Linked DNA regions of Caenorhabditis elegans. The protein of the gene in region 2 purifies or fractionates together with the protein of the main gene of each other region. This does not show direct contact. Each region holds a gene or a part of one and is shown on either strand. Other genes may lie near its edges.

Region 1 (4,591 bases), on a different chromosome or scaffold from region 2:
AACAGATGAACGCACACCATGCACTCAACAAGTATATTAGTCGTGTCGAAACTGGGGTCTGTATTCTTTGGCATAATTTGCTACGGGTAATATGACATATTTTATTCAGAAACTATTTTTTATGTTTCAATTGTTCCAGGTAATTAGTCTCGGAGCCACAATTCTTTCCCTTTTCACTCTTCGAAAACATCCATACGTTTGCTTTATTCCAATTCCATTTATCAGTAAGATTCTGAAAATCTTTTTTTTTTCATAATTTCAACTTTTCAGTAATGATGTTCATCATTCCTTTCGTTTTTGGTGCTCCTACGTCAATGGTTCTCGCACTGGCAATGTACGCTTCGAAAAATGTACGTTAAAAAAAATTTACTTTTCAAGAAGTTAAAAAGTTGAGGGAAAAAACATTTTTCAGGCTGTGAGCACTTGGTATTGTGCAATAATGGGTATCATTCAAACTCTTCTGATTTTCGTGACTTCTGTAACCCGAATCCACGCGACGCTGTAACTTATTGTGATTATGTAGAAACGATTGCTTTAATAAATTTTTTTAGTTTCTTTGTCTATAAAATCTCGAAAAGAAAAAACCATATAAAAATTTCCAGAAATGAACAGAAATAATGGGAATCGAAAGATGGTGTAGAAGAAGAAAAAACAAAAGTCTCGGGGTGCTTATAGTTATGCGAGTGAATCAGAGAAGACTTATCGAACGATTTTGTGGTTCATGCCAATGGGATAGGAGTAAAGCGATTAAGGACGCGGGATGGACTGGTGGGTAATCTATACAAAATTGAAAACCGAAAAAAGGTGTCATTAAATCATTACTAATCATCAAAGTGTTTTAGTGTCTAACAGCCTGTTTACAATAAGAAAAAGAAAATAGAAGGGGAAGTAGCATTGAGCATTTATTCGAGGTCTTTAACACGGGCACAAACATCAGCGGTGAATGAAGAGCAAGTTCCAGTACCTCCGAGATCTCCAGTTTTGGCACGTCCATCAGCAATTGCATCAAATACAGCCTTTTCGATACGAGCAGCGTGTTGTGGAAGGTTCTGAAAATGAGCTTGTAAAATTTTTAGACCGACTACGATATAAAAACCATGTAACGGAGCATCATGACGGCAGATAGAAGAAGAGCAGTTGGGTTTGCTTTGTCTTGTCCAGCAATATCTGGGGCGGTTCCGTGAACGGATCTGTAAAGAAATTTGGTAAGTTTTGTTTGAATAAAAAATTGTATTTCGCTATAAAATAAAGTTTTCAGGTTAAAAAAAATTAGATTTAAATTTTATTGAGAAGATTAAAAAAATGCAAGATTTCATCAAATTCAACTTTTTTAGTATTTCCTACTTTTATAATTTCGTATTTTTTGCTTTCGATTTCACTTCTATGTGTTTATCTGAAATTTCAGAAATTAACAAAAATTCTAAACTGAGTTCATTTCATTTGTCAAAGCATTTTTTAACAAAAAACATACTCAAATACGGCGGCTCCTTTTCCAATATTTCCAGATGGGGTGACTCCGAGTCCTCCAACAAGACCAGCGCACAAATCGGAAAGAATGTCTCCATACAAGTTTGGCATGACAAGAACATCGTATTGTGATGGATCCTGGACCATGTTCAAGCAAACTGTGTCGAGGTAGGCTTCCTAAAATTATAGATTATAAATTTTAACAGGAAGTGGTTTTTCTTTAAATTCTATTATTCATACCTTGAACTTGATATCTGGGTAGAGGGCAGCTTGCTCGCGGCAGATGGACAAAAACAAACCGTCGGATTGTCTCATAATGTTGGCTGTAAAAATAATTGTTTTAATTTTCTTTTTCAATTTATATTACCTTTGTGGACAGCAGTCACAACTTTGCGCCCATTTTGACGAGCATACTCGAAGGCGAAGCTGGCGACATTGCGAGAAGCAGTTTCAGTAATAAGCTTGATAGATTGAACAACTCCCGGGACAATCTGAAACAATTATTAGGTGATACATTTATTATTTAATTTAATATACCTCGTGCTCAATTCCAGAGTACTCTCCCTCTGTGTTCTCACGAATTGTGACAACATCGACATTGTCGTACAATGTCTTGTGTCCTTCAAGGGAACGGCATGGACGAACGTTGGCGTAAAGGCTAAACTCTTTTCTCACAGCCAAATTCAAAGATCTGTGTCCTTTTCCAATTGGGGTCTCGAGTGGTCCTTTAAGTCCAACTTTGTTCTGAAAAACGTAACAATCAGAAATAAATGTACAATTTTCAAACTAACCGCGTGCATAAGCTCGATGCAACGACTTGGAATACGGAAGACTCCATCGCGTCCCTTAACTGGAGTCACATCAACTGGGTCCCAAGCAATCGGGGCATCGGCGGCCTAGAAATAACATGATGTAAGACACACGAAATAATTGAAAATTCACCTCAAAAATCTTCTGTACAGAAGCTGAAATTTCCGGCCCAATTCCGTCTCCTGGAATTAAAGTGACACGGCGAACCTGAACAAAACTGGCTTTTTTATAAAGTTTCGAGGTTTCTTACGTCTCCGGAGCTGTATCTGATGGATTGTCCGACGGTAGACGACGCCTTTTTGATGCACTTGCCAAGCATTCTGAACCCTGGAAACAAAAATATTTGAGATGGAAGGAAAAATTGAGCGAGAAAGAAAATGAAAAAGTATTTACGATGCACATTTTTTGAGACTATCTAGACGATCATATTTTGGAAAATCAAAATTTAACATCAGGAATCATTAATAAAATATGTTAAGCCTTAAATTAAAGAGCCAAGGAAAAGGGCGGTAGCAGGGCAGCCGAGGTGTTCGGTAGAGCGCAATTTATCGATCATTGGAAAGGGCGGCCAGCAAAAGCCAGTTGAAAAATAGAAAAGCAAATGGAGGGTGCGAGACGGGTATACAATAGACACATTGCATATTGTTTTTTTCTGTTTCGTTTCTCTTTTTCTTCCGGATCCTTGCGTGCGTTTGTCGCAGCGTCCCGCTGCGTGGAAACAGCTAGCCAGATATAATCTCTTTGCACCTGTAGCTACGGCATCCTGCGACGTGGATTTCAGTTTTTATTGATTATTTAAAATTATACCACGTATGTAAACTAAATAATGGAACACATAATTTTTGGTGAAAAACTGTACTAAATGTACTATCATCTGACTTTCTCTTTCACTTGATATCGTACAATTAATGCGTAATTTGAGAGATAAGACATTAATGCATTATAAAGAAGATTTTCGAAGCTTCTTCCGTTTTAATCAAGTTTTAAAAAATAAATTAGTGAAAAACTATAACATTCTTCTAGGACACTTTTTTAAAGTATTTATTTAATCTTGTTTAAACGTTGACGTTAAAGGTGCACCCATGGGTACGTTTTCCTATTTTCTTTTAATTTTTAATGAGGAATTCATCTGAAAATGTGACATAATTTGTCAAATTTTGGATATATTTTTTCGCAAAAAAACTTGATTATTATTAAGTTCGCTGAAACTCTGAAAATAGATTAAACCGATAGTTTTACATTCTCTGAAACGTTAAAATTTTTATTTAGTGAAATTGTTTCGTTGTTAAGCGTTTTAAAGCTGTTTATGTGTCAAATGTAAGAAAATTTAGTAAAAGGTGTTGTTTTATCAATTTACTTGCTGAAAAAAGGCAAAATCATTACAATAATACAGAAAAATAAAAAAAAACAGGATTGAACAAGTTTAACGTTTCGAAGGCTGATTCTGTTCCGCCCGTAAATCCACACGCGCGTTAGGACACATTTTATGGTTTCGAGATAGGCGCCTTCAAAATTACTGTACTTGTGTCTGCGTCTCTGATTTATACACGATGTTTTTAAGTGTCTCGTGGATTTTGACAACTTCGAAAAATACATTTTATTTTTATTTATTTAATTTTCAGTAAAATGGCAATGAAAGAAGGCAGCTCAGTGGAGCAATTTGCAATGAGAAGTCGTGCAGCAAGGACTTCATCGAGTGAAGGTTTCCAAAACGATATGCCCACATACAAGGATGTAGTTTTTATTGAAAGAAAAGTAAAAAACGGCGATACACTCAATAAATTGGCAATAAAATATCAAGTAAATGTGAGTTCTGTCGGTTTCAATAAAATATTTTATTTGCAATATTTTTCAGGTAGCCGAAATAAAACGAGTGAATAATATGGTATCCGAGCAAGATTTTATGGCACTTTCAAAAGTGAAAATTCCAGTTAGCCGAATGAGAATGGCGTTAGGCGTACAATCGGCTTTAAGCCAAGACGAAGAAGACGAAATTCTTATTGGTTAGTTTTTTTTTGCTGAGATAAAGCTTTAATTTCTAAAGATTTACAGATATTGATGACAGAACTGCACTTCTGCGAGAAGATCGAGGCTCACGAGATCCCAGTGTCGAGGATATTTTCCATAAAACTGATACTAACATAGGTGAATAAAAGTTAATAAAAATTATTAAAAAACAAATAGAAAAATTTCAGCTCAAGTTCGAGAAGCTCTTCCAGAAGAAAGTCACGGTGTCACTGGTTTTCATTTTGTAACCGCTCGAGCCCCAACTTCGTCATCTATTTCTGTTTGGATGGTTGTTTTAGGTAGGTTT
Region 2 (4,037 bases):
TTTGGAAATGGCTAAAAATATTGGAAATGTTTGTCATAAAATGTATGAAAATCCAACAGGACTTGGACCAGAAATAATACATTTCAATATGGAGGATAGTTCTGATATGACACAAGCGGATACTTATGTGAAGAATCTTGATGCTCATTCACTTCTCCGTCCAGAAGCAATTGAAGCGTGGTTCTATTTGTATCGTGTTACTAAAGATAAGAAATATCAAGAGTGGGGATGGAAAGCTTTTGAGTCGATTGAAAAGTATGCAAAAGTGGAAACTGGTGGATACAGCTCAATTGACAATGTGCTCAGAAAGAAGATCAAAAGGTTTGTCAGCATTTTGTTTAATTTTTAATCATTCAAATTCAGACGTGACAAAATGGAATCATTCTTCCTTGCTGAGACCCTCAAATACCTTTACCTTCTAATGGCTGATGATCAAGAAATCCTTCCACTCGATCGATGGGTTCTCAACACTGAAGCCCACCCACTTCCAATTTACAATTGACTGATGCTGTATTTTTCACTTTTTGACGGGTTTTTAGAATTTATTTTTACCAAAAACAAAACGTTTGTCTAACAAATAAACTATAACACATGTATCTATTGCATTCTGATCAATCTTCCATGAATTTCTTCATTAACTGGCCAATACTGCGTCTTTCCAACAACTGCTGCAGAGACCTGTCCTTCAAGGAATACACGTCGGCAAACATCTCGGAGCTGCTGGACTGTGATTGATTCGATTCGGGCATGTAATTCTGGAGTTGGTATCCGACGACCGTAGCAAAGGAGTTGTCGACCAATATCTTCACAGACTGGAGTTGAGCCATCGAGCATTAGGAGTAGATTCGTATGCAGGGAGCGCTTGGCACGATCAACCGCTGCTTCATCAATGTCTGGAAATGAAAGATGTTGACTCAGGACTATGTTAAATAAAAACTCACTGTTCGCAAGCCAAACCCATTGTTGAAGAACTGAATCAATAAGATTGTCGATGGATTCCGGAGCAGCTACGAAATAAGTTCCAACTAATCCTGTCTCCTGAATTACAGAAATATGTAAAAAGAGTTTTTTTTCCCAGGAATTCATTACTTTATAGCACGTGTTAAATGATTGGAAAACCTCAATTCCTGCGTCTTGTGACAATTTTTCAGCCAAGCGAGTTGGAGCATTCACGCCGAATCCACGCATACGATCGTATTCACCCATTAGCTGGAATGATGAACTATCAACTTCTAAGTTATAAAAATATTTTTTAAAAAAGTACCGTATTAGCCACCATAAGGGCAAGATTATCTTCATGGGTCCAAGATACTCCTTCGACAACCATCGCTCCGTACAACATTGGAAGATCTGGAATGTCACCTCGAACCTGAAATGTAAACATTTAAAAATATATTTTGTTAATTCTATTTAATATTTGCTGATAGCGAATTTATTCAAACAAAAACTGACTTCACAGGGACTGTAAGTGGCTGGGACGAATTCAGTTGAAGAATCTCCATGCTTGAGCTCTCCGAAATATTTTTCTGCCATTTTAACAATCGCATCATGATTGACACCTCCGGCTGCTGCTAATACCATTCTGCCACTTCGATAATGTGTATTAATATATCCTTGAAGATCATTCTTATTGATTGTTTGAATTAATTCAATTGGACCAAGAATTGTATAGGAAAGAGGATTTCCTTTGAAAACATCAGCATGAAGAATATCAAATACAACTTCTTGAAAGTTTTGTGCAACTTCTTCCATTTCTCGAATAATTACACCACGTTCTGCTTCGATATCTTTAGTGGCAAGACTGCTGTTCAGAAGAATATCCGAAAGAATATCGACGGCTGCAATTCGGAATAGATATTTTAAAAATTGCATTAATAATTTTATTTCTTACATTGGTCAAGCTTTTCTGTAAAACATTTAGCATAATACGTCGTGCTTTCTCTAGAAGTGTACGCATTTAGATGAGCTCCAATATTTTCAACTTCAAGCTCCAATCCCATTCGAGTCCGGCGAGGCGTTCCCTGAAAAATTCGGATTTTTATATGAAATTCAAAATTTTCTAAAAATTAAATTAAACTAACTTTGAACGCCATATGCTCTAGAAAATGAGCTGTTCCATTGTTTTTCTCATTCTCGTAGCGACTGCCGGCATCAATAAATACTCCGATCTAATAAAAATAGCTTTGAACAAACAAATAATTTAGGAAAAATAATTACAGTAGCAGTAGATCCACCTGTGTTTTCTGTTGCAACTCTGAACCCATTCGGAAGTGTCGTTACAATTGTTTCTGGGACAAATACTGATTTCGGCTGAACTTGTGCGATTCTTCTTTGGGAAGTCTGAAAAATAAATTACTTTCACTGTAAACAAAATTGTTTAAATTACCTGATATAAGCCGGAGGCTAGTCTTCTGTACATTTATCTGAAAAAAATTTATATGCTCTATTTTCAAGGAAACAATGGTTACGCAATAGTGAAGCTCAATTTGTCGGCTAAACACAAACAAATCTACGTAATACTGGAATAAAAATCTTTTTGCTGACATTGATACAACAAAACGATTAGAGTAACGAATTAAACAAAAATTGAACAGAATTGCAGAAAATGCTTCTAAAAAAGTGAAATTAACTTTGTCCACGAGGTGTACGTAGCGAATGGAAGAACTTTCACAAACGCGGCCGCCGCGGGCAAAAAGGCGGAAGTTTGAATAAAAGATTTTGAACAATTGCACGCGGTATTTCATAACTTCGGAATTTCCAATTAATTTTTCAGATTATGCAGACATATAAAATTTCGAACCAAATAAAAAACATCAAGGGGCTCTCGTTTAGAGCTTGTATTTTTGGAAAACGATGTCCAGGGAAACGGTAATTTTGGAAATGTCCTTTCGGGGATTATTTATAATCGCGCACAAACAGGAGTGGGTATCTAGCGATCCTTATTCATGATTACAAGAGAACAAAAGAGCATATCGTGTTTTTTTAATATCTAGAGCCAAATGTTCATAATAAGTTCTGATCATTTCATAATGAATCAATTTCTAGAAATTAAAAAAAAAAACGATATAATCTGAAAACTCTTACTACCACAGTACAACTACAGTAACCCAACAGTATCTCTCCATGAACTCCAACTCAGTATCCCATCAAAAGAAAACAACTGAAATTTACTAGAACTACTTGAGAACAAACTAAAACTGTGACCTATGCATTTTTAAAAAATATTCATACATTTGTTCATATCTAGAATATATGTACTATGAAAATTAATTTTTAATTCGTATGTAGTAAAAAATCATTAGTAAAGGATACAATCCTTGTCATTGTAGTAAAAATGTCCACCGTAACAAAAGATACAAACTGTAGCAAAAGATCGAAATGGGATAACGGAGTAAAAAATACGGTTGTAGCAAAAGAGTAAAACGTCGTAAAAGATCTATGTATGCAAATCATAGTAAAAGAGATCACGTAGTAAGAGATCAAGTAGTAAAACAGTATTTGCCCTTGTTTTATTGACGATCATGATAAAACAATAAAATTTGAACATAATAAAACACTTTCACACAAATATTTAGCTAGTATTGAAAATTAAGCATTTCATGAAGCATTGAATCACAGTTGAGAACATTGAAAACTGTGAGCATCACGTAAGAAGTTGTGAGTTTTTGAGCAGATTCCTGTAATATCCTTTGTTTGCTGGATAGCTGTTATACAAAAATAAACAAACCCTGAGATAATTCATACTCATCAGAAGTTCTCCAACACGATGCTCTCCGCCTCCACCTGGTGAATGACACATTTTTGATAGAAAGCCAATTATGATATTCCTTTGTCTACGACATTTTTCACGGCCATTTTCAGTTAGCTTGAAGTATGCTGAAATTATTGAAGGATTAATTTGAAAGTTGAATACATTTTTTTAAAAAGATTATGAACTTATGTATATCGTATTTGAATTTTTATTTAAAACAAATCTAAATGTGTTAATCACTTTGGCAGAGTCACTCCTCCGTGTAGACACAAAAATATCTGTCTGA
Region 3 (5,058 bases), on a different chromosome or scaffold from region 2:
ACATCAAAATCTTCTAAAAATTATTAAAACTTTAAAAATAAAATTTTTAAAGTGTGATAGTTTCGACCTTCGAAGTTATCATGTAAATCAGCTATTTATAATATTTTCGTTTCTGACTATCAAAATCATCTCGTTGCACTTTAAAAATAATCAGCAAAAATGACTAACCTTTCTCAATCGATCTTGTTTTCGCATGATGATTCCTTTTCGACATTTCGGACAGACGAGTGCACCCACACCTCCTCCGGGAGATCCACCAATTTGTGGAGACTGGTTAACGCACAGAGTTATAGCTGAAATTTTAAGATAAATAAAAGAAGAAGTGGAAATTTCTACTTTTTGATGATTAAAAAAAGGTGAATGGCAACTTGAAATTATGAATAAAAATAAATTTGTCTAGACTAGGTCTCACAAATTGGACATCCGGTTTTTTGAGTTCTAATTTTGTGTTCGAGCGCTTTTTTTCTCGATGTCTGAGACTGGATTTCAATAAAAAACAAGGAGTATCGAGTATTTTATAAAAATGAAGTTTCGCCGAAACATATATATATATCTTGTATAATTTTTTTATAATTTTTAATATTACTTATCGAATATACCTGGCGACGCCTGCTGTTGCGGTGGGGCTTGGACAGGCGGTTGAGGTGAGACAAGCTGCACTGGATTGGCCATTTGAGCCATCTGAGTCATCATCATCTGTGGTCCTGCAGTTGTCATGATCGGTTGCTGCATAACAATTTGCTGAGGCATCATTTGAGCCATTTGGGGCATCATGTACTGCTGTTGAACCATTGGCATTGAAACTGGAACCATTTGAGGCTGTGGTTGAATTGGTGGAGCAGATGGAACTGATGGATAGACTTGAGATGAATAATATGGTGGCGGTTGTTGTTGAGAATATTGAGAAATCCTGTAAATTGTGAATTTATTCCAATGAATTTTCTTTCTTCAACTCACTCTGGTCTGATATGTTGCCGCATAACCTCCACTCTTCGTGGAGAAATGTACTTGACAGTTTCGGGCCCCAAAAATTGAACTCTTCCATCAGGCGTGAGTGGGGGCTCTTCATCTGAAAATTAGGTGTTTAAAATTTTTAGATTATTTTATAAAATAACTTACAGACGTAATCAGTCGGATTAATTGTCATCTTGAGCAACGATTTTCCGATTGAAAACAGATGAGAAAATAAAAAAAAATAATTCCTCGAATCTCAGTCTGTGAGAAGTGCGTCGATGTGTTTGCGTACTTTGATTGCATACCGTAGTTCACTATAAAAATTGCAAACGAACATTTCCAATAATATTATTTTTATTTAAAAAAAAGTTTAAAAGTGTCAAGCAATCTTAAAACTTGAGAAGAACTGTATAAGTTTTTTAAAATAAAATCGGAAGTATAGAAATATCGTGATTTCGCGAAGTTTTGACATGTCAGTTTAAAGGCACTGCCAATGTTTCGAGTGGGTCTCGCCACGATCTCAGTAATTGTTGTCATTACAGGTGCCAAGTTATACAGGAGAATTCATTTCATGTAGAAAATTAAGTCTATGAAGTTTCAAATTTTGAAGTGGCCAGAGAAAACTAGGATTAATCCCGAAAAATTTAGCACCTAGCGAAACATTTCCCGCACCGGAGTATGATTTAAAACTCTTCGTTTCCAAATAAAGAAATTTCTATCTTCTCACACACTGAAGTCATATCGTTTTTTTTCCACTAGTGACAAAACTTTCAATTCGTCTAATATTTTTTATTACAACTCCCCATTTATGTCTCATCAATTTTCAGTCAAAACTCTGAAATTTTGACCACATTCAACACGTGTCAGGGTGTTCTTGCACCTGAATTGAGCCGCACTTCCCTATCTTTTTCAATTTTCTCTGCCAAACTTTTCTTTTCTTTCTTGATAAGCCGAACAAATGTGTGTGTGCCTGCCAAGTTGTTTACCACGTTAGAGATAAGAGAGATGTAGAGACGCAGATGTTCATGAAAACGCCCGTCTTTTTGTTCCCGGGACCCTGAGCATTGGAGAATCCCATGCTACATTTAATCGATACCTTTTTTCTCAAATTAAATATTCTATAGCTACATACATATTGTCTCAAATTTTGAAATACTAGACAGTCTCTAGCAAAAAAATTTACGAATTTGAGATATTTTAAGTTCTTCTTAACTTCCTAATCGAATTCCTAACTGACAATGAATCAATAACGAAGCTTTTATAACTAAAGAACAAAAATTTAAGAATGTTCTCAAAACTTCCGATTCAAGCGGTTCGTGGAGCTGCCTCTGCAATCCGTACCCATCAAATTCCAGGTCACAGAGTAAGAGTTATCTTATCAGAAAATTAAAATTATAAAATAAAATGTAGCAAAATGCAATTCTTCCAAAAACCATAATATAATCACTTTTTCAGCTCCCACTAGCAAAATATGGTGGTCGACATACAGTTTGTGCCCTTCCTGGAGATGGAATTGGCCCCGAGATGATTGCCCATATCAGAAATATTTTCTCGTTTTGTCATGTAGGTTCCCATGCTTGAAAATATAAAGTCTACTATGCACATTTGGGTACTTGTGTATTATACCCCCGCCATTGTAAAAATTAATCAAATTTCCATTAATTTATTTGTTTAAATTAAACGTGATACCCATTTTCCTTATTAGGCTTCGGAGTGCTGTTTTCCTAAGCCTAAAATTCCACACATTTTTATTTTATAAGGTAAAAAATTAATGTTTAATGGCGGGGGTATCATACACAAGTACCCACATTTGAATTTAAGCTTGCTTCTTCAAGAATGTGAAAGTTCTAAAAACCATATTCAAGTTATCATTTTAAAGTCACGTTAAACTGGATTTACAATATACCGTAACCGTGTTTGGGTTTAAAACACACAATATTTAATTTCAATATTCTTCACTGCTCATAAGCTTTTTTAGTATCGTTTTTCTTCTATTAGTTTTGGATTTTATTGCTCAACTTTGATTGCTCGTATCTCGACTCTTTTTGATTTTTTTAAAAAGTTGGTAGAATACAAGTTAATCGTAATCCTTTTTCACATGTTGAGAACTACCAAAATGGATAAGGTGAAGCAAAAAAAAGAGACAGATGTTAATTTTAGGCTCCAGTCAACTTTGAAGAAGTGCAAGTCTCATCGTCGCTTTTGGATGGAGACATGGATGCTGCTATGCTGGCAATTGAAAGAAATGGTGTTGCTATAAAGGTAATGAATTAAATAAAATTAGTGAAATACCTGCTTGTTCAATTGTAAAAAAAAGTACCTCTGTTTTTTTGAATTGAATTAAAAATTTGCATTAGTTTAATGTCAAAATATAAATATTACAACTAATGTATATAAAATAATTTCAGGGAAACATTGAAACAAAACACGACGATCCACAATTCAACTCTCGTAACGTTGAACTCAGAACTAAATTGGATCTCTATGCCAATATTCTTCACTGTGTCACAATTCCAACAGTACCTACCAGACATTCTGTAAGTAAACTTACCAATTTGTTTCAGTTGGAGAGTTTAAAAAAATTGTATTCAATTGTTAAAACTTCTTATTTTTAAGGGAATTGATATTGTTCTTATACGTGAAAATACGGAAGGAGAATACTCTGGATTAGAACATGAAGCAGTTCCAGGAATCGTAGAAAGCATTAAAGTGAGTTCAAATTCCTACTTTCCTGTATTTTCAGTTAAATAAATACTTTGAGATCGTCACCCGTGAGAAAATTGAGAGAATCTCAAGAATGGCATTTGAATATGCAAAAGCAAATGGAAGAAAGAAGGTTACAGCTGTTCATAAAGCTAATATTCAGAAACTTGGAGATGGACTTTTCCTAAAGGTGTGTTTTTAACGTTTCAATTTAAGGCCTAAAATAATGAATATTAAATGATATTTCAGGTTGTTCGGGACATGTCAGAAGATTATAAGGATATCAAATTTGAAGCAATGATTGTGGATAATGCCTCAATGCAACTTGTCTCTAAACCTCAACAGTTCGATGTAATGGTTATGCCAAATCTTTATGGAAATATCATTTCGAACATTGCATGTGGCCTTGTCGGTGGACCTGGATTAGTGTCTGGAATGAATCTTGGAGATAAATATGCTGTTTTTGAAACAGGAACTCGTAATACTGGAACTTCTCTTGCTGGAAAAGATATTGCCAATCCAACTGCGTTCATTCGAGCATCTGTTGATATGTTGAGATATTTGGGATGCCATTATCACGCTAATATTATTTCCGATGCATTGTGGAAGGCTCTTGTTGAACAAAGAATTCACACTGCTGATATTGGAGGAAATAATTCGGTAAGTAAAATTAAATAGTTTCCAAAAAAAAACCTAAACCATTGTTACAGGCCAGTGATGTTATCAACGCAACTCTTCAGAACATCAAAGTTTTGATGGACGAGAACCCAAAACATTGATGAAATTTCTCGTGCTTTGATATAATTTTAATTTTCTGGATTTTAATATTTCGTGTCAGGTTTTTATGTTTTTCAACTATACTTTTGTAAATAAATAAAAATATTGAAATTGATTTGTGGGTTTATAAAACTTAATGAAAAACGCAATTCTGAAAAACACGAATTTTCAATTTTAGAATATCCCCTGTTCATATTTCATCCAAAAATTAGAGCCCCATGACCAATCAGACAGGGCAAAGGAAATTCAAACAGAGAAATGAACCAAAATTTGAAACGTAGATTAAATTTTGAAAATTTTTGTATCTGATCTTTATTCTCCTTGGACAGTACACCACATCATTTCTCATTGTAACAATTGTTTTCTGAAGCTTATGAACCCAGAGAAAGAGCCTGTAGTGTTGACCATTCAGATTAACGATTCAACGACAAATGAAATACAAATAGAACAGAAAAGAAGGGACGGAGACGAATCGGTTCAACATCAATAGTCAGTCAATGTTTTCCTCTGTTAAAGCTCTCCATTTCAAAAGTTTATAGAAAATAATTTTTACAATTCTGAAGCTATTTCAAAAAATTTTTTGCGAATACAAATTAAGGCTCAAACTAATTATTATTAGTTGAA
Region 4 (4,746 bases), on a different chromosome or scaffold from region 2:
CAAATTTCGCATATTTGTCTATAAAACATTCAGATCCATGCCGGTCTCGACACGATCGATTTTTTTATAGGCAAGGGTGCATTCGCCTTCAGGAGTACTGTAGCTTCAAACTCCTATTTTTTCATATTTAGTTCTCTTTGAAATTGTATTACAAACAGAAACATATCATGGGAAAATTAGTAATATTAAAATAAACACTAATTATGCAGAAATTTAACAAAAGTGCTTATTTTCCATCTTCAACTTGATAATTTTCCAGAACCATACTTGGATGTGTACTGGTGATTTCAACATTTTCCCGTAATAATGAATGTGATCAATTATTATATTGGACATCATTTATTTTCTGTGCATTCTTCATCATCTTTTATTCAATTACAACATGCATTTTTATATGTTGTTGCTGTTGTATATTTACTGGAGCATATCGTTCTGTTCCCACAAATGAAGAAGTTCAAATGGGGGCCCAGTACACCGGTCGGAATACTAAAGAATGAGTCATTTGATAATTTTTCACCTCACCAATAAAAATAAATAAGTTTTATTCTAATTCACAGATCATTTTCGGGAGAAGAGAACAACTTGAAAAAAGGAATATAATATGAAACCAACAATTGAAGTAGAACATTTACTAAAACAAATCAATAATCAGATTGAGCCCATAATTTAAATGTACGATCAAATGCCGATGAGCACATCCATTGTCCATCTGGACTGATGTCTACGCACAGGATTCTAGTATCGTGACCCTGAAAACATTTTTTTTAACTCAAAAAGTTAAGCTCAATTGATATACCTGAAGTTGTCTTAGTGGTTGCCATCCAGTGGTCGACCACATTTTAAGAGTACAATCGAAGCTGGCAGAAACAAGATATTGGCCAGCAGCATCAGCACGCACCCGGGTAACAACTGATGTATGAGCTGGCATAGTGTATGTATTTCGTCTCATCCGAAGATCCCAAACTTTCATTGAATTGTCCGAGCTTCCAGTAATCATTTCATAACTGAAAATACGTTGATAACATCAATATTTCAAGTAAATGGTTTTAAAACAAAAAGTTATAATGTCCCAGTGAACTAACCCATTTGGCATCCATTCAACACTGTGAATTTCTTTTGTGTGACCATCAAGGAACATAATACATCTTCCAGTTCGCATATCCCAAACTCTTCCATAACAATCGTGTCCGCCAGTTAGAGCGACTGATCCATCTGGATGGAATGCCACATCAGCTACTGATTTTGAGTGTCCTTCTTGATAAAGTAACTCTTTTTTCGTTGTCAAGTCGTACATTCTCCACGTGGAATCGAAGCTGAAAATGATTATCTTGTAGAGACTGAAATTCAAAGGTTTTCTGAATACTGCATCAGAAATAATCGAATATTTTTGGCAACTGTAAAACCTGTTTATTTCAATACGATAATCTAATTTTTTAGACGAAAAAGCGCTGAAAACTCAGCGCCGAATTCGGCAACAATGAAAGTTTGAAGCTACAGTACTCTTTAAAAAAGCGAACACGCTTTTATTTAACGACAAATTGTCGAGTCGAGACCGATTACCGTATTTTCGGCTCTAAAATCGTCGTGTTATTACCATTAAAAAACTTACCATGCAGTAGCGAGATGATGACCATTTGGATGGAACGCAACTTTAGATACTCTTTGTGGATGTTGTTCTAGTTCTCCGATTGGTGATTCCTGGCTTAGCGACCATAGAAGAACGGTTCCTGAAATCACGAATTTTGAGAAAATTGAGCAAAAATCAGTTATATTTACCATCATACGAACACGAAACCACATTCAAAGAAGAATAATCATTCTGAGTAAATGCACCGGGATGAAAACGTGCACACCCTGCTTGAGATGAATGTCCAATAAATTTAATTTCTTGAGCACATTGTTCTCGCTTCCAAACTGCCACTGATCCGGACCAGCCAGCGGTAACTGAAGTTTTTGATTAGTTGGAAAGTTCTACTTAGAAAAAACAAACCAATATGTTCAGAATCTGCTGAAAATTCACAAAAAGCCACAGGGCGTGTGTCTGCAACTTGAGAAGCATGAAGATTGATTTGTTGAACCCATTTGTGAGCTTCTTGACGAGCCAAAGCTTTTTCGTGAGCAGGGCGAGCAGCTTCTTCTCGAGCTTTGTCAAGTCTTAATTTAGCTTTTCTTAGAGAAAAATCAGCGATTGAAACGCGTGCCATCCGAAGTTCAATCGGACCACGATGATACCAAGTAACGGTTTCTTCGTCTGCTTTATCAGCATTCACCTTCAAATTTTTAAATAATTTTTCAAACATTGAAAAACTTACTTCATCAGTATGCAAAACGGCTGCAATTTCATCTTCAGACATTGTTGAAAGTAGAGCTCTAAGTCTTTCTCTTCTATCCAATGCATCTTCTCCGAACAAACAAATTGGTTGGTTTAGAGCACGAAGTTTCAGTTTTACCTTTAAAATATATCTTCAAGTGGGTAGTTATTAAAAAAATTTTATTCATATGTATCAAAACTGTACCTGAACATCATCTGTTGGCAATGTGAGAGTTCTTGCTCTCCGTCTTCTATCAAATTCTGCAAACATTTCAGCATCGTGGCGTGAATCTGCTTGATTTGATACTTCCATTCGTTCCAAAGACACTGTGGGTCCATGGTTTTGCTGTTGTGCATTCTGAAATTTTAAATTAAAATTCAGAAAAAATAACATAGTCAAAGAATTCATGAAAAAAAACATACCAAGATTGCATTCACGCTTTCTGCATTCGCCAGTGATCCAAACTGTCTTGGCGGTGCTGGAACAGCAAAATTGCCATTTTCAGCCATTTTGTGTGCTCTTAAAAAATTTAATTACTTTAAAAACCACTGTAAAGAATATGAAGTTATATATTAGGACATTCAGAACGAAGATGTGAGACATAGGAATGGGCTTGTAGTTTTATTATAATTTATTATATTTAGTTGTGAAGTTTAAAACATTTTAAAGTGAACAAAGGAAAGAAAATGGCATAAAAGTTCAAAAAAAGCGGTGAAAATTCTTCGAAAGTGGGAACCAGTAATCGCGCTCTAATGATAATTTGAAGAAATCTGAGGTTCTCTCACTTCTTCTCGATTCATTTTCACCCTCATTTTTTTTTGATTATCTATTTTTATTGATTTTCCCACGATTCATTATCTTTATCTTCGAAATCTGTATTGTTTGAAGATTTCAGTCGATACGAAGTCGAATGGAAGCGTATTTCAAATGTGCTTCGTTTTGCTGTGCAAAGTTCTCATTACCCGTTTTTAAAATTTTCTCTGGTATCTCAATCGAGTTATTTTCTATTTCTAGGCATTAAAAATGAGAAAAATGAACTTAATAGTGGCTATGGATGCCGAAGGAGGAATTGGCAAAAATGGCGTGTTGCCATGGCGAATCAAGAAAGACATGCAGTATTTCGCGTCTGTTACCAAAAATGTTTCTGATCAGTCGAAGGTTGTTCGAGATTTCTAACTAAACTTGTAACATAACTTTTGTAGAGAAATGCAGTTCTCATGGGACGAAAATGCTGGGAAAGCATTCCAGTAACTCGCCGCCCGTTGGCAGGACGGCTAAACATTGTTTTGAGCCGACAACTTCCTGCGCAAAAGTCCGATGACTACATTGTTGTGTAAGCTGTCATGAAATAATATTTAACCTGTTGTTGTTACATTCAGAAACTCGCTCGAAGCGGCTATGAAACTACTTTCGGAGCCACCATTTGTGGATTCGATCGAAACAATCTGGAATATCGGTGGAGCTGAAATCTATGATCTTGCGTTGCGAGAAAACTTGGTTGATGAAATTCACTTGACACGTATTTTCAAAAAGTAGGGTGCTTGCACAGTTTTTTTACTCTGTCGTAATTTCAGCTTCGAAGCCGATGTTCATCTCAAGTCACTCGATTTCAGTAAAATGGAGAAAGTTCAAAATGCCGAGGTGTCATCGGAAAATTCAGAAATTTTCGAAGAAAATGGATTAAAGTTCGAATTTTGCAAATGGAAGGTTGTCGAGAACCACTGAATTTTTTTTTGAAATTGCTGTTTATTTTTTTAATTTATATGTATTCATTCACCTGTTGTTTACTCGGGCAGCCCACAATTTTCACGTGTAAATATAAAATCTGTACATGATTCTTATTACTATTAACTTTTTGTAATTCATCGTAAGTATGCGATGTTTGATATCTTATTTATTTCATTCCTTCCTTATTTTTTTAAAATTTATCCGTTCAGACGTCACAGCTTTAACTCTTCAAGAAAAGCGTAAGAAGTCTCGGTTAACTGGTATTTTGATGAAAAGTATGGCCAATAAAAAGGTGTGTTGATAAAGATAGTGAAATTCGACATATTTTTCCCTAGTTTCAGAACCATCAGCAAAAGAAAAGTACAGACGGGTCAACGATGAACGGGAATAACGCAACAGCAACTGCCGCTGCAACAACTCAGAATTCATCACAAATTGGACAAAATTCCAATTCCAGTCATAGCGTCACCAACGATAACACTTCCAGCAATAGTACGTATACACGTTTCTCACAAATCTGTTTTGAAATAACAAGGACGGCTGTTCCTAAATAGGTTTTAGAATTTTCTTGCAGCAATTGCAAATTAATTCAAAATTTTGTGTCTTAATTTCCAATGGTTCATTTAAATCGAGATTTTGGAGACCTTGGTCTTCACAATCTGTGCTTAAAAAATGACCCCGAAGAAAAGAAAGAAAGTGAATAGAC

What was found.
Region 1: the proteins of mppb-1 (region 2) and idha-1 fractionate together in Caenorhabditis elegans (co-fractionation; one large-scale study listed by BioGRID). This does not show direct contact.
Region 3: the proteins of mppb-1 (region 2) and idhg-2 fractionate together in Caenorhabditis elegans (co-fractionation; one large-scale study listed by BioGRID). This does not show direct contact.
Region 4: the proteins of mppb-1 (region 2) and prp-4 fractionate together in Caenorhabditis elegans (co-fractionation; one large-scale study listed by BioGRID). This does not show direct contact.

Annotation. Positions count from the first base shown.
Region 1 is NC_003279.8:8,606,028-8,610,618, forward strand, and holds idha-1 (putative isocitrate dehydrogenase [NAD] subunit alpha, mitochondrial), read right to left. Parts: upstream 2,605-4,591; 5' UTR 2,597-2,604; coding exon 2,528-2,596; intron 2,485-2,527; coding exon 2,410-2,484; intron 2,364-2,409; coding exon 2,259-2,363; intron 2,212-2,258; coding exon 2,005-2,211; intron 1,959-2,004; coding exon 1,835-1,958; intron 1,791-1,834; coding exon 1,708-1,790; intron 1,645-1,707; coding exon 1,472-1,644; intron 1,191-1,471; coding exon 1,097-1,190; intron 1,050-1,096; coding exon 903-1,049; 3' UTR 522-902; downstream 1-521. Other genes in the region: F43G9.13 (Vesicle transport protein), read left to right, coding at 140-224, 271-350, 413-505; lmd-1 (LysM domain-containing protein), read left to right, coding at 3,904-4,083, 4,133-4,280, 4,330-4,422, 4,473-4,583.
Region 2 is NC_003282.8:9,073,059-9,077,095, reverse strand, and holds mppb-1 (Mitochondrial-processing peptidase subunit beta), read right to left. Parts: upstream 2,424-4,037; 5' UTR 2,420-2,423; coding exon 2,387-2,419; intron 2,341-2,386; coding exon 2,218-2,340; intron 2,169-2,217; coding exon 2,082-2,168; intron 2,022-2,081; coding exon 1,892-2,021; intron 1,839-1,891; coding exon 1,453-1,838; intron 1,370-1,452; coding exon 1,265-1,369; intron 1,210-1,264; coding exon 1,090-1,209; intron 1,039-1,089; coding exon 942-1,038; intron 894-941; coding exon 598-893; 3' UTR 525-597; downstream 1-524. Other genes in the region: mans-4 (alpha-1,2-Mannosidase), read left to right, coding at 1-321, 364-502; Nuclear hormone receptor family member nhr-11, read right to left, coding at 3,576-3,677, 3,728-3,876. UniProt on the Caenorhabditis elegans protein: Catalytic subunit of the essential mitochondrial processing protease (MPP), which cleaves the mitochondrial sequence off newly imported precursors proteins. Preferentially, cleaves after an arginine at position P2.
Region 3 is NC_003279.8:6,972,523-6,977,580, forward strand, and holds idhg-2 (Isocitrate dehydrogenase [NAD] subunit, mitochondrial), read left to right. Parts: upstream 1-2,035; 5' UTR 2,036-2,239; coding exon 2,240-2,317; intron 2,318-2,409; coding exon 2,410-2,517; intron 2,518-3,114; coding exon 3,115-3,216; intron 3,217-3,362; coding exon 3,363-3,491; intron 3,492-3,570; coding exon 3,571-3,663; intron 3,664-3,715; coding exon 3,716-3,847; intron 3,848-3,906; coding exon 3,907-4,317; intron 4,318-4,367; coding exon 4,368-4,436; 3' UTR 4,437-4,549; downstream 4,550-5,058. Other genes in the region: C30F12.4 (LITAF domain-containing protein), read right to left, coding at 1-13, 169-293, 600-910, 958-1,069, 1,120-1,147.
Region 4 is NC_003279.8:8,732,887-8,737,632, forward strand, and holds prp-4 (Pre-mRNA processing factor 4 (PRP4)-like domain-containing protein), read right to left. Parts: upstream 2,832-4,746; 5' UTR 2,822-2,831; coding exon 2,735-2,821; intron 2,670-2,734; coding exon 2,517-2,669; intron 2,451-2,516; coding exon 2,313-2,450; intron 2,271-2,312; coding exon 1,991-2,270; intron 1,945-1,990; coding exon 1,777-1,944; intron 1,728-1,776; coding exon 1,610-1,727; intron 1,314-1,609; coding exon 1,083-1,313; intron 1,005-1,082; coding exon 797-1,004; intron 750-796; coding exon 642-749; 3' UTR 527-641; downstream 1-526. Other genes in the region: C36B1.6 (putative tumor suppressor protein), read left to right, coding at 260-497; dhfr-1 (Putative dihydrofolate reductase), read left to right, coding at 3,336-3,470, 3,515-3,645, 3,692-3,844, 3,887-4,037; gls-1 (Germline survival defective-1), read left to right, coding at 4,186-4,332, 4,382-4,532.